Linked DNA regions of Oryzias latipes. The protein of the gene in region 1 purifies or fractionates together with the protein of each later gene. This does not show direct contact. Links are inferred from orthologs where the notes say so. Each region holds a gene or a part of one and is shown in the gene's direction. Other genes may lie near its edges.

Region 1 (4,873 bases):
AAATTCAGATGTGTGCAATCTGGTTTTATTTGTGTGGTTGTGTACGTTTGTCTTGGCTTTTCAGGATTGTTTTTTTACTATGCCCTGATCTCTGAACTATAACTTCCCTCAGGAAAAAGTAGTCTATTTCAGTTTACTACAAGTATACTTAGTCTATGCTAAAAGAGAGGAAGTATACTTGAAGTTTACTTTTTATGTACCATCTATATATTGTCAACTTAAAACATTCCAATTTAGTCTAAAGAAGTATTCCATATGCTTCCTACTCTACACACTAAAGTATCCTTGCTATTTTTCTTATGCTCAAGTATATTTAACAAAATGAATGTCAAGTGTATTTCTTTTTTGCTAAGGAGTAACTGCAATTCTTTTTAGAATTGGCTGTTGCATCTTTTTTATTTTTTTAAATATTTTTTTGACTATAGTGATGTTTTTTGTATTAACTATTGAGGTATTTTTGTGCATCTGGCAAAGACCTAGAAATGAAAACGAGCCTTTTGGACAGCTATGAAATATTTACCCAGCTACTCCATATGTTGTTTTTTTTTGTTTGTTTGTTTGTTTGTTTTTACATTTTACATGTCCTTAAGTAATAATATATTAAACAAAAATTGATAAATAAATGACTAAATGTTACATGTAAAAAGTTGAAAGGTTAGTATAAACATCAACATGTTAAGGTATACATGTCATGTTAAACATTTGCCTAACTCGGGGGTCTGCAATCTGATGCCATGGAGCTACATGTGGCTATTTTATCCCTCCAGTGTGACTCTTTGAATTCAGAGAAAAAACTTTCTTGCATTTTCAATTCATGTAAAACAGCTGCAGTGGGATTTTATTTGATACAGGGTGCATTTTATTTTGAAAGGAGCTTGTATCTGCTGCTGTCAGAAGTGGTGTGATTCAAATATTGTAAATGTTTAAAAGCTGTGTCATAAATGAATGGTTTAGTGGCCACATACCTCTTTTTAACTGGCTTATTGCTTTTGCGCGTTGCGAATGCGGAACCACATTTTTTTTAATTGAAAAACAATTAAGGTTTAGAGTATTGTGGCCGTTGTAAAAAGAATTCAACAAGTTACAATCACAACAAGTATAGAAAAATGTAAACAACATTAAAAAAGTTAAATAAAAAAAATACAATAATACAGAAAAATACAAACTTAAATAGAAAAGATTAAAACAAAATAAAATAAAGGGGTTACATGGGCATTATATTCATCATTAACTTAGGGGTTATCAAAAAGCTGCAAGTTACATATGATATTTTGAAGTTCCATAGCAAGTTTATTTTCCATGAAGTTTACGGAAGAAAAAAAAGAGCAGAATTATTTATGAAATGTAAAAAAATATGGTTTGATTTTGATTGCATATAGAATCTACTCAAAAATAATTATATCATTTAAAATAAAATCTGTTTTTGTTTTCTAAAATAAACCCAAAAATTATATCCTTAATAGAAAAGTCTGCTAAACATGGAATCTTGGGGGAAAGCCAATAATGTATATTATCCCAAAACATGTTAGAGTGAAAACATTCAAAGTCGTTTCAATGTCATCATTATAAAAAAAGAACAACAATTTTTAGGAAATCCAAACCGTTTTCCATGCAATTCCTTGGAAGGGTAAATACCTGAAAAGCTTTTAAATGGACTTCCTTGGAGGAATGGGAAGTTTTGAATATTTAGTTCGTAATTGTTTTTTTTTCTGAATTATTAAAATACTGGTTAAAATCATTTGGATTTGAGATGTAGGGAAAGGACGTTTCGTTAAAAGATTCTCTGATTTGATGGTTGGGGAGTATGCGGAACCACATATGTAGAGAGCACTTTTTCTGGGGGGATGACTATTGACGGCGGACTGCTCCATGACTGCACATCAACATTTGTCCTTAATGTGACATGAAACGCCTCTGAACCGGCCCGTTTCCGTGGAAGTTGAATTAAAGAGCTAATCTGCTCGTCATGTCTCTTGCTGCAGAGGCCTTCGTGTCGCAGATGGCGGGTAATGTTTACGTTCTGCCTTTTCTGATTCTATGCTGTTTATTTAGCTGCTTCTTTTTAGCCGGTTAGCGGCTAAAGTTAGTAGTTCACCTGACCAGAGGGATGAAAACACACCCGTGTTTGATTTTCACCTCGTTCAAATATCCCGAAGTGTGTCCAGGACGACACAGTACAGTGACAGAGATGTCAGCTGACTATTGAATGACTTCTTATAGTTCTCACAAAGATGTCAACATCAAAGAATAATAAATGATACGAGTTAATGAGCGCGTGCTCTTGTGTTTGTCGTTGACAGCTGCTGAACCCTGGCCTGAAAATGCCACCTTGTACCAGCCACTGAAGGGTGAGGGGTTGAAACGCCCTGAACTGTCTGTCTGCATGTTTGCCAGCTTTACATTTGTTCCTGTTTTTTCCTCACAGAGGATCAGATTTTGCTGTCAGACTCCGCCTCCTCTCTGGCAGTTCAGGTAAGTCATCTTTGAAACTTATTGCAATGAAATGAACCTTTTTTTTACTTTCCTGCTTGGAATCCAGAAAATGAAATAAATGTTTTGGTGTTTTTTTTCTTCAAATTTACAGTAAATGCATCATATATCTTCTACACTCAGATATTTTCACCACATCTCAGACATTTTATGAATGAATGAATGAAGGTTGCAGCTTTTTTTCCTCCAGCTGTTCTTTGTATCATCTGCAGACTTACCTCCGGATGTGTGGGCTTCCAGTGCAGGTGGTCTGCAGGCCAAACGCTGAATACATGTCCCCTTCTGGTCAGTACACGCTTGTTGTTGTCTGATCTTTGGAGAACGTAACTGATGTTAACGTACGGTGAGAGCTGAAGGGATAAACTCTGTGTTTGCTCTTCCTTTAGGTAAAATACCTTTTATTCATGTGGGGAACCAGGTTGTGTCAGAACTTGGGCCGATTGTGCAGTTTAGCAAAGCTAAGGTGAATCAATCAACACAACTTCTGCTGTTTCATACTTGATTCTTGATTCATTTTTTAATGATTTGGTTTGTTTCAAACACTTTTAGCAATAAAAACAAATGAAAAAGATACAAAACTAAATAAAATCCATAGATATATCAAGTCTGTTTAAGCTATTAACTAATTAATTTATTAGATAATAAATAAGAATGTGATGGAGGTGCAGTGGTTAGCGCTCTTGCATGTTCTCCCCGTGCATGCGTGGGTTTTCTCCGGGGACTCTGGCTTCCTCCCACCTGCTTCATAGGTTCATAGGTTACTCTAAATTGTCCCCAGGTGTGAATGTGAGTCTGGGTGTGTGAATGTGACCCTGCGACAGACTGGCGACCTGTCCAGGTGTCCCCCGCCTTCACCCACAAGTGGCCGGGATAGGCTCCAGCAGCCCTGTGACCCCGAAAGGGATTAAACGGGTTTAGAAGATGGAAGAAACGGAATGAATGGATCCATCTATTTACTGGCGCCACTGAATCCCTTTCAGGGTCACAGTGCTGCCGGAGCCCAGTTCAACTACGGTTGTGTGAAGGCGGGCAACACAACCACACACACACACATACACACACACTCACACACTCACACACACACCCATAGGGGCAATTTAGACTGATCAGTGAACCTGTGAAGCATGTTTTTAGGAGAGTGGGAGGAAAGCGAAGTCCCCAGGAAAAACCCACGCGTGCACGGGCAGAACATGCTAACTCCACACAGAACCCAGCAGGAATTGGTTTTTACATTTTACACAGAACTTTCAAACTTGGGCTGTGAGGTCAACTGCAGCTTAATGTCAGTGTTTCATTTTGAAGGGGATTTATACTTTGGCTCCAACATATTCCTTAGTTTCCACAGTAGGTGGAGCAGAAAATTATTAACATGCATTTTCATTTCATTTTTTCTTATTTCTTTACATTCTTAATGCTGCTTGATTCTTCTAGTTTTTTTTTTTTTAATGTTTTGTTCATTTATTTCGGTGTCATGACATTTTGTTTAAAGGAACAGTAGTCAGTTAATTACTTTACTAACCCACACTAATAATTATTATTAACCCACAGATAAGATTCAGATATTCACACACTCACTAAAGTAAATACGTCAGTTTTTATTTACATTTTTTATGACTTCAATAACAATTGTTTTTTATTTTTATTTTACATCTTAATGTCTTTCTGCAAGTTAAATTAAATAAATACGCATTCATACATTTTGTTATTTAATTAAAATTCTGCCATTATTTGGGTTGCATTTTTTTATGGTGTTGAATTTTTCTGTTATATTTTATCTTCAGGTGTCTTCTTTTTATCAACACTTTGTGTTTTTAAAAACCTATTTGATTTCTTTTTTTTACTCTTTTGGTTTATGAATCATTGAATTTGGCTTTTCCGTTTCTTTTATTCAACTTTTTTTTAAATGTTTTCACAGCTCACACATCATTTCAACTCGGTTTTTTAATGATACATTTAACAATTTCCTCAAATCTTTCCTATACTTTTAAGCGATCATAGCACTAAGCTTACAATTGACTATGTTTAGGGTAATTCACTTTGGTGCTTTTTAGTTTTTCTAGTCTCTTTTTTTTTCCAAAAATTGGTCATTTGGAATATGGAAAATGGCTGTAGTCAACACTTACTTCCAGAAGAGAGAGGAACATAGAGTGACATACAGAAGTGGAGGTAGGAGTACTCAGGTGGACTACATCCTATGCAGACGAGGTCATTTGAGAGAGGTTATTGACTGCAAAGTGGTGGTAGGAGAGAGTGTAGCCAGACAGCACCGCATGGTGGTGTGTAAGATGACTCTGGAGGTCAGGAAGAAGAAGAGAGGGAAAACAGAAAAGAAGACCAAGTGGTGGAAGCTACAGAATGAAGAAACTTGTGAGGAATTTAGGCA
Region 2 (4,180 bases), on another chromosome or scaffold:
TTTTAAAAAAAACAGCATGTTTGGAAAAGTTTTGCTTTTTTGTGGAAGATGAAACAAAGAAACTCATCGGTATAGTTATACCGATTTTATTTATTTATTTTTTAGCAGCGATCTCCACAAGTTTAGTCTTTAAAAGAATAGAATTGATTGGTTGGTTGGTTGGTTGGTTGGTTAACCGATTTCAAGCGATAAAGAAAGAAAAAGGGGGGAAAAAGGACAATACAAAAAACCGATGTCAATATAAACCAATTTAAGATATCAATTCATAAGTTGATTAAAAAATAAAAGACAAATCATGCCGTTTTAAATATGGATTATAATCATCAGTAGACCTATTTACACACGATACATTGAATCTATTGAATCCAAAGACTGATTGATTGGGTAAAAGTAAGTGAGAAAAAGCTAATTCAAAGTATGCCGCCTCACAATGTTTTATAAAACATTTTTTTGTTCTTAACATCTGTTTAAAGTTCTTAAAGTCGGTCTGTGATCATATTTTGATGTATTTTCAAAGCATTCACAATTCACAACAATTTGAATAAAGAAATAGTCAAAAACAGAATTTTATACTTTATACTTCTTAACATCTATTATGGTAAAAATGTCCCCAGAGGATTTTAAAAATGAGATTTTCATTGAAGCGGGTCTTTAAAACGTTTTCAGTCCAAGTCCGAAATTCTTATTATCTTCAGAATTTCTTTTACCAAATTCCCGAAATCAATATTAATCTATTAAACCTAATAAAACAAAAATAAATTGCTTATTGATCAGAAAGTGTTGGATGTTATTAAGTTCCCTCAACCCCATATTGTGAAAAAATCGTTCCTATTTCTGAATTTTTCTGAATTTTTCTTAGATTTAAACTTGTTCCAGAGTTTAGTGCCGTACATAATAACTAGAAGACAAAGGACGTGTTTCTTTCTTTTCGTTTTTTTTGTTTAAAGCCATTTGCTACATTCAAACCCAGATGTAAAGGTCAATCCAGGGATATCTGGTCTAAAGCCTCAAAGACCTCAATGATCTGCAGAGTTTGAATCTGAAGAGACTTTCTTTAAACCTTCATGTTGGTTTCAATTGTTTCTATGGGATCTGTGACCATTTAATGTATTTTACTCATAGGTTTAGTGTTGGTCATTGAATTAAAATGGATCAATTCTGTACAAATATTACCTTTTATTTTCCTTCAATGAGTGTTTGAGTTTTTAATCTGACACCTTCAACAAGGAAGTTGGAGGATAAATATTTTATTTGTTCTCAGTAGACCTTTATTTTTGTTTTTCTCTGTGTTTCCTGCAGGTCTTGCAGTACAGCTCCAGTGTGTTCTGGCCTGCAGGCTCAGATTTTATCTTGTTACAGAGACAACAGAGACCAGACCCTAAAGTGCTCAGACCTGGCCAAGGAATACCTGCAATGTATAAACGCTGCAAGAAAGGTGAGAGGTTTCTCCGTCTGTGTTTCTTTTTTTATAAAATAAAAAAACAAAAAATAGAGTATCAATCATGGTTCCACTATTGGTTAAAATTAGTGTCATTTTCTTTGTAAGAAAAAAGACAAAAGATTAGAATAATAAGGAAAAGTGTTTTCATTTCCACAATTCCTTTCAAAAAGTTAAAGTTTGTATTTTATTTATTTTTTTACGTAAATTTGGGTTCCAGCTCATGAAACTGAAGATATCAGCATTTATGCATAAAAGCAAAGACAGAGGTTTGATCTATTGATCTATTTTCAATAAAAGAATATTTTTTTGAATGGAATTATGGAAATAACACGTTTCCCAGTTATTCTAGTTTTTTGGAATTGATTTCCTTCATGCAGCCAGATGCTCACCAAACCTACATCTCTGTTTGTTTAATTCTGAAGCTTTAGGAGAAAGACACAAAGGTGGCAAAGCCTCTTCAAAGTTCATCAGTATTGCCAGCTGTAGGAATTGAGGAGAAGGTAGCAAAAGAAGATGTGGCGTAGATGCAGGAAAAAACACAAAGAGCATCGACATAAAAAAAAAGAATTCACTTTTTAGTACTTTCAGTGGCGGTTGGTGGAAAAAGCAAAGGTCGTGTTTTGCATAAATGTGTGGAAAAGTTTCTTGGTATTTCCTAAAGTTCTTGTGTGAGTTGCAGAGCTTCTCCTGAACTTAAAAAAGATTTCAATCCAAAACAAGTCTCTAAGCGGGAGAAAACCGTTTGTTCTAGTCCGCTGGTCCGGATCGAGTCCTGAACCTTAAGGCATTTGGACTGTAGTCAGACTGCTGTCAGGCTTGTCAGCCTACAAAACTACAGCAATAAAATCTCTTCACTCATTGGTCAGGGATTATGAGGCAAAGCAACTAGAGAAAGAAATTCTGGAAGTCCTGCACTTTGTTAGTTTGTTGGTTCATTCAAACTTTACGTTTTGCTGATCAGTTTTAAACATCAGGCTCAACAGTTTAACTGCTGCGTTGGTCTCTACCTTTTATGACATGGATTGTGGGGAAAAGAGGAGGAAGCAACGTGCATCACGTTATATCTTTTTAATTGCATTTTTTAACTGCATTCATCTGACCGCATTGGAATGAGCTGCTGTGTCTCATCGTCGTGGTGAGGATTGAGAATTCTGTCAAGGAACTACAAGGTATCACTTAGGATGACGTCACAGCAGCTTCCTGATTGGCTGTGGATCTTGTCAATCACTCTTGTGTTCAGTTTGTAAAAATCTTTGTTTGCGATCAGATATTTGTTTTCAAAAGTAACCCGAGATGAGCAAAATCGGCAAAAAAGTCATCTTTATTTTCTTTACAATTATTTTAGATATTTAAGGCAGTAAAACTAGACACTTTATACATTTTTCTCGGACAGACAAACATTTTTACACTTTTTTCTCTCTTGATTAAACTCTCAAAGTTCAAACCCTCATAGAAAAATCAGTCCAGTGTTGGAGAATGAAAACATCAAAGCGATCAGACTGAACAAAACTTTTATCAATCAGCATGAACTTAAATCTAATGGCACATAACCAGTATTAAAACATAACAGAATTCAATACTGTCAACTAATCCTAAATTGTTGAAACATAATTAAAAATAAATCTGAAGCCTTAGAACTTTGGTTTGATTTCTAAATATTTGATCAACTAAAATACTTTTTTTGGATACTGGATAGAGCACCAAAATGCTCTATTTTTTCATTATATGTGATTTATATCCTCAATAGTCAAAAGAAGAAAGATTTTTGGTTCAAGCAGTCAGCTTGAGGTTAAAAAAACACAACCTTAAAGTTTTTTACAGAGGAACAACTGAGGATTCAGGAGTTATGCATGCACTCTGTAAAAAGCAGCCTTTCCCTCCCAGTATCCCAGAACTCTCAGTGTGCCTCACTGTTGTATTATTCAACCAAAAAAGCCGGTTTCTCCACTTTGTTCATCACTGCGCTGGTTACAAATTCACAGAAAGTTAGAGAGAAAAGTGCAGCAGGAGGAGGAAGGCGAGCCGGAGGACAGAATGCTGGGAGCCCGTGGCTCCACAGCTCGGGCTGGGAAGGCGTTTGAAGGTACAGTTGCTGATCAGGCAGCCAAACAACGCATCGCTGCGCCTCACCCGGGTCTCAGCTCACATCTTTGCGTTGCTGAGGGGCACTGAGGCTTATCCTTGGAGTACAACAATACAGAGTGCGATAATCAGCTTGCTGAACAAGGATTCCTCTGCTGTTGCACTAATCGTGTCTTCTTTCAGGATCATCTGTACCACAGGCGGTGTTTATCTTCTTATGCGGTATAAATATGAAAACATACAGCGCTGGAATGGTGTGTGTGTGTCTGTGTACGTTTCCTTCTCATGTTATCCTCTGTGATTTAATGAGGAGCGAAGAAAACTTTATGAAAAGTGTCTTTAAAAGACTGCAATGCACATAAGTTATAACATGTTGCTGATAGCTGCCTTTACTCACATAGAAAGGCCTTTTTTCAGTAGATACAAATAAGATGCTTTCAAGATCAAATGAGTCAAGAAGTAAAGTAAAGTAGGTTGTTAGATTGTGAAAAGTTACTTGTAAAATCGTTTTTTTCAAGTAATGTAGAAACTGGACAAAATTTCTGAAAGAGATTTTGTGTTTTAGCAGTGAAAGTGCATGGAAAATAAAAACCTAAAGTTGATCCCTTTAGTCAAATTTTCCTTAAATCCTTTCTGTTTTATGTTAAATACGTTTTT
Region 3 (4,180 bases), on another chromosome or scaffold:
ACTGCGATTTAGCCGCAGCGTCAGCTGATTTCTGAAAAAGTCCCGCCCCTTTAACTGTCTCCACCAATCATTCTTGGAGGCTTAATCAAATGTCATCAGTCTGACCAATCAGAAGTGGTTAAACTCTTCACTTCCTTGTTCTGATTCTGCTCCTAAAGTCTCTCAGTTCTAACAAAAATTCCAGCTAAAGCTCGTCTTTAGCGGTGTAGCTTTCCACAGAATCTGGTATCAGACCGTGGAACAGGTGAACAAAACAATGAAGCTCAGAGAAGTGAGTCTGTCTGACATCACTACATCACCCATAATGCATTGGGTTAGAGTGACAGCATCTCAGCGTACAATGAGTCTCTCCTCTTAACGTCTTGAAACCACAACGAACACACATCAAACAGTTTTTAAATCTTCTAACTTAACTTTTATTACATCTTTTAGAAAAAACAGCTGCAGCTTCCAGCTTTTCTGCCACAATCATCACAAAAATGCACGTGTGATTGTGGAGGTGCTGTAGATCAATACAGACTATGAGTTTCTCTTTTTTTGTCATTTTTGGATGCTGGTGTGCTGCAGGATTTTGTCATGGTTAAAGTGTGCCGTGGCTCAAAAAAGGTTGAAAAACAAGGATTTAGAGGACAGAGAAGATCCTAGCCTGTCCTTTCACACACACCATGTTCCACTGAAGGACAGATCCTGAGCTCAGGATGAGTTTGTGTCAGACCTTTAGGTCCTTCTCCACGACCGGTCCACTCCACCTTCATCTTCTCCTTGTCTGTTCCTCCAGGAGCTTCAGCCGAGGCCACCCAGATCATCTCTGCCAGCAGCGACGTCCCTTCAGTCCCGGCGCCGTTTGACACCCAACCCACAGCGGTCACAGGTAAATCACCCAGCAGGAACATGTGTAGAGTAATCAGATTACTGCAGGGCTAGGGGAGTTGTTACTCGTTGATGGTTACCATTAGCAGGGTCACTGTTAGCAGTAAATAGTTGTGGAGGGGGGGCTGACTGCTGCTGTTATCAGTGGTCCACGTGCACGCTCTTCAGCGTGCGCTCTCTTTTTCAGAGCACTGCGACGAGTGTCACCACGTTGGCTCAGAGGCGGCCCACAGCGGCGCCGATTCGCCCGCCGGGTCCACAGAACAGCTGGTGGAGCGTCCGGCCGAGGAGGTGTCGGCCCGTCTGGCCCAACAGGACCAGGATGAGCAGAACGTTTTAGCAGGTTTGACGCGAGAACCTGATTTCTCTGAGGCAGAACCTCAACTGTCTCCTCAGTGTGGGAGGGGTCTTCAGCAGACGCCCGACTTGTGACAGTTTCCAACAGAACCGTGAGGCTCATGCCGGTTGTCTGATGTTTGCCGTTCTCCAGCGGTGTCCAGCAGTCTGGAGGAATCTCTGGCCTGTTCAGCCAGAGCAGCGCTGCAGGCCATCGGAGCCCAGGAGGCGGCGCTGCAGGCCATCAACCAGCACACGCAGAAGCTGAAGGAGGCCATGGAAGCAGAGGTACTGCCATGGCCTCAGCGGCCTGGGGCCTGTGGTCAGTGTCATGGAAGACCACCCAAAAAAAAAAAAGGAGTCCATCGTTACTTGGATAATGGATTCCTGATTCATTTGGGAGATTTCTTGTTTTTTTTTTTGTGAGTTTTTAAATAAGGAAATGAATCATTTTGTTAATGGAAGCTCAGGTTTGTTTATAATAATAAATTAAAAGGATTCTAGAGAGTAATTTAAAATGAAAGCAACTAAATATTTTAGCAGAGACTATTATTTTGCTTTTTAACAGCAAAATTACACACAAAAATGCTCCATAAACATTTCCAATCAAGCTTCCAGCAGCAACATAAAAAAAGAGTAGACAAAAGCTTCTTAGTATAAACTCTGGATTTTAAATTTGTCACGGCTTTTCCAAAGATGACAGAAAATGTCTGTCATCTTTTTTTTATGGAGGGCTGAGAGGAAATTAGCATTTCAAAAATAAAACCTGTCATGATGAGGTTTGATTTTATTCAGATTGAATTACGGTATAGAGGTTTGAAAACGAATGTGGATTATTGATTAACAGAAGGTGCAACAGCAGTGGAACATTCTGGAATGTGATTGGCTCGTTAGAGGGAGGAGTTCAGTGACCTGACACTCTGTTCCCAGCAGAGTCCTCCCGAGGAGAAGTCCGTCCAGTGGAAGGATCTAGAAGCTGCTCTGATGGACCGGACCTCTGCTGTGACGGACGCGACAGCTGCCCTTCAGAAAGCCAAGCAAGTTACCCCCACCCCGAAAACATGTCACCCTGTTGACCTCAGGTCACCTCTGCTGTCTGCTGGTTCCTGAGCTCTTTAGCAGCACTCCTCTGCCGTTCTGGGCCTCAGAACAGCAGAACATCTCCAGCTGTCGGACTGTTTTTACATTCCCCTCGTTTCCTAGCGTGCACTCAGGCGTGTGCACGTGTCCTTCCGCCGCTCACAGAGCGCCGCCGTCCCCTGAAGCTGTGTTTTCGTCCCTGCAGGGAAGCTCTGGATGGTCTGAGGGCCACCATCAACGGCTCCAAAGACCTGAAGGTGGCCGCCGTCCGCCCGCTGGTCCTGGCAGCTGAAGAGAACCTGCATAAGATGGTGGTGGACCTGGACAGAGTCGTGGCTCAGGTTAGCAGCTGCTCTGCTCTCTCTGCCTCTAACCCGGTCTCAGGCTAGAGGACACATTATTACTCAAGGAGGCAGGTAATCAGTATTTGGAGGCGATATTTATTTGCAGTAAAGGTGACAATATTTTACAATTTAGAAGAATACAAACACAAACAATTAGTTTATTTCAAAAAACAAGTACCGGTAAATAAACAACCAAAGACATAGCTCCTCCTAGAAGTGCAGGGAGCAACAGGCTCAGCAGCAATTTTTTAGTTTTGTTTTAAGTGAAATAAAGATTTCCCTGAAAGTTTTTAATAGTAATAAAGTCAAACTTCAGCATAAATTGGAGGATTTATAATTTATGTTAAGTTGAAACAAAAAGTGCACAGTGGCAAATAGGGATGGGTATCGTTAAGGTTGTAACGGTACTACTACTCTTATCGATACTGCTTATCGATCCGGTATTTTAACTACATTCTTATCGATACTTTATGAGGAAGAAAAATAAATAAATATACAAATAACAAATTAAGAACAAAGTGTTTTATTTCCTCATTTTGCAACGACATTGTTTTTTTAACAAAACATTTTACTTTATACATGAGAAAGTTCCAGACAGGATATGTATTTAAGTATTTTTATTCTTTATGAGCGTGATGTTTCCTTTGATCTTTTGTCCATTTTCGACAACCTTGAATGGACTTCTGTCTGTCAAACACCCAGAGTTAAATTAAGTTAAGTGAGATGATGGAAACAAATTCACTTTGATACGGACTCCTTTCTGTTTCTTTATTTTTTTTTAAATCCAGTAAACCCAATAAATTATATAAATTGTATGGAGGAAGAATATCATTAGTTGTTACTTATTATTAAGTTTTAGGAAGCAGCTGTTAGTTTGTTGCGGGTCTGGAACCATAAGCGGTGAGTCTAAGCCCCGCCTTAGACTGATCCGCAGTTAAATCATCAGTAGACCCAATTCACAGCGAATAGAATAGAAGACTTTGTTAATCCCACGATGGGGAAATTCCTTTTGTCAGCGGCAGCACAGAAAAAATCAAACAAAAATAGTTGGACTAGTTAAGCAATCAAACGCCGTCTCTTGGGCCGTGAATGGCAGAGAGCTGCTGAAGGCGGCCTGTTGGGGGCGGGGGCTTTATGTCTGGTGTTTCGCTGAGGAGAGGAGGGAGACGTTTGAACGCCGGCATCAGATTGTCTCAATGCAATGATCTGTGTTTTTTGTATTTCTCCCCGTCAAATAAATATGAACAATAACATTTATGGTAGCGAGTTAAAAGCGACTTTGCTAGTTACCAGTAGAGGGACATGCAGAGGACCGAGATGCCCACTACTATTTGGAGAGAGTTTTCTGTACGTTCAGCACATCCGTACACCCTCCAGAGCGTCTCCACAGCACAAGGCTTTTCTCTCTGAGTTTGAGTTTGACAGTGGTGGAGACAGAGAGCCGGAGGTGCGTCTGAGCCACAATGACCAGCTCCACATCAGTCCATCCAGTTAAAAAAAAAGGGCTTAATGCCAACATGTCAAAATCCTAATTATTAGGTCGCACAATA

Evidence for each region. The genes of interacting proteins can lie anywhere in the genome.
Region 2: the proteins of mtx2 (region 1) and MICOS complex subunit mic25a-like purify together in Homo sapiens (co-immunoprecipitation; 3 studies listed by BioGRID and IntAct, counting the BioPlex papers as one, with this or other methods). This does not show direct contact. The link is inferred for Oryzias latipes from reciprocal best matches to the Homo sapiens genes MTX2 and CHCHD6.
Region 3: the proteins of mtx2 (region 1) and immt purify together in Homo sapiens (co-immunoprecipitation; 5 studies listed by BioGRID and IntAct, counting the BioPlex papers as one, with this or other methods). This does not show direct contact. The link is inferred for Oryzias latipes from reciprocal best matches to the Homo sapiens genes MTX2 and IMMT.

Annotation. Positions count from the first base shown.
Region 1 is NC_019873.2:5,189,736-5,194,608, reverse strand, and holds the start of mtx2 (metaxin-2), read left to right. Parts: upstream 1-1,846; 5' UTR 1,847-1,966; coding exon 1,967-2,006; intron 2,007-2,300; coding exon 2,301-2,348; intron 2,349-2,425; coding exon 2,426-2,472; intron 2,473-2,702; coding exon 2,703-2,775; intron 2,776-2,876; coding exon 2,877-2,953; intron 2,954-4,873. UniProt on the Homo sapiens protein: Involved in transport of proteins into the mitochondrion.
Region 2 is NC_019865.2:2,331,961-2,336,140, forward strand, and holds part of MICOS complex subunit mic25a-like, read left to right. Parts: intron 1-1,299; coding exon 1,300-1,435; intron 1,436-1,863; coding exon of another isoform or gene 1,864-1,869; exon of another isoform or gene 1,870-2,084; intron 2,085-4,180. UniProt on the Homo sapiens protein: Component of the MICOS complex, a large protein complex of the mitochondrial inner membrane that plays crucial roles in the maintenance of crista junctions, inner membrane architecture, and formation of contact sites to the outer membrane.
Region 3 is NC_019868.2:4,710,500-4,714,679, forward strand, and holds part of immt (MICOS complex subunit MIC60), read left to right. Parts: intron 1-778; coding exon 779-871; intron 872-1,057; coding exon 1,058-1,213; intron 1,214-1,360; coding exon 1,361-1,494; intron 1,495-2,136; coding exon 2,137-2,243; intron 2,244-2,491; coding exon 2,492-2,627; intron 2,628-4,180. UniProt on the Homo sapiens protein: Component of the MICOS complex, a large protein complex of the mitochondrial inner membrane that plays crucial roles in the maintenance of crista junctions, inner membrane architecture, and formation of contact sites to the outer membrane.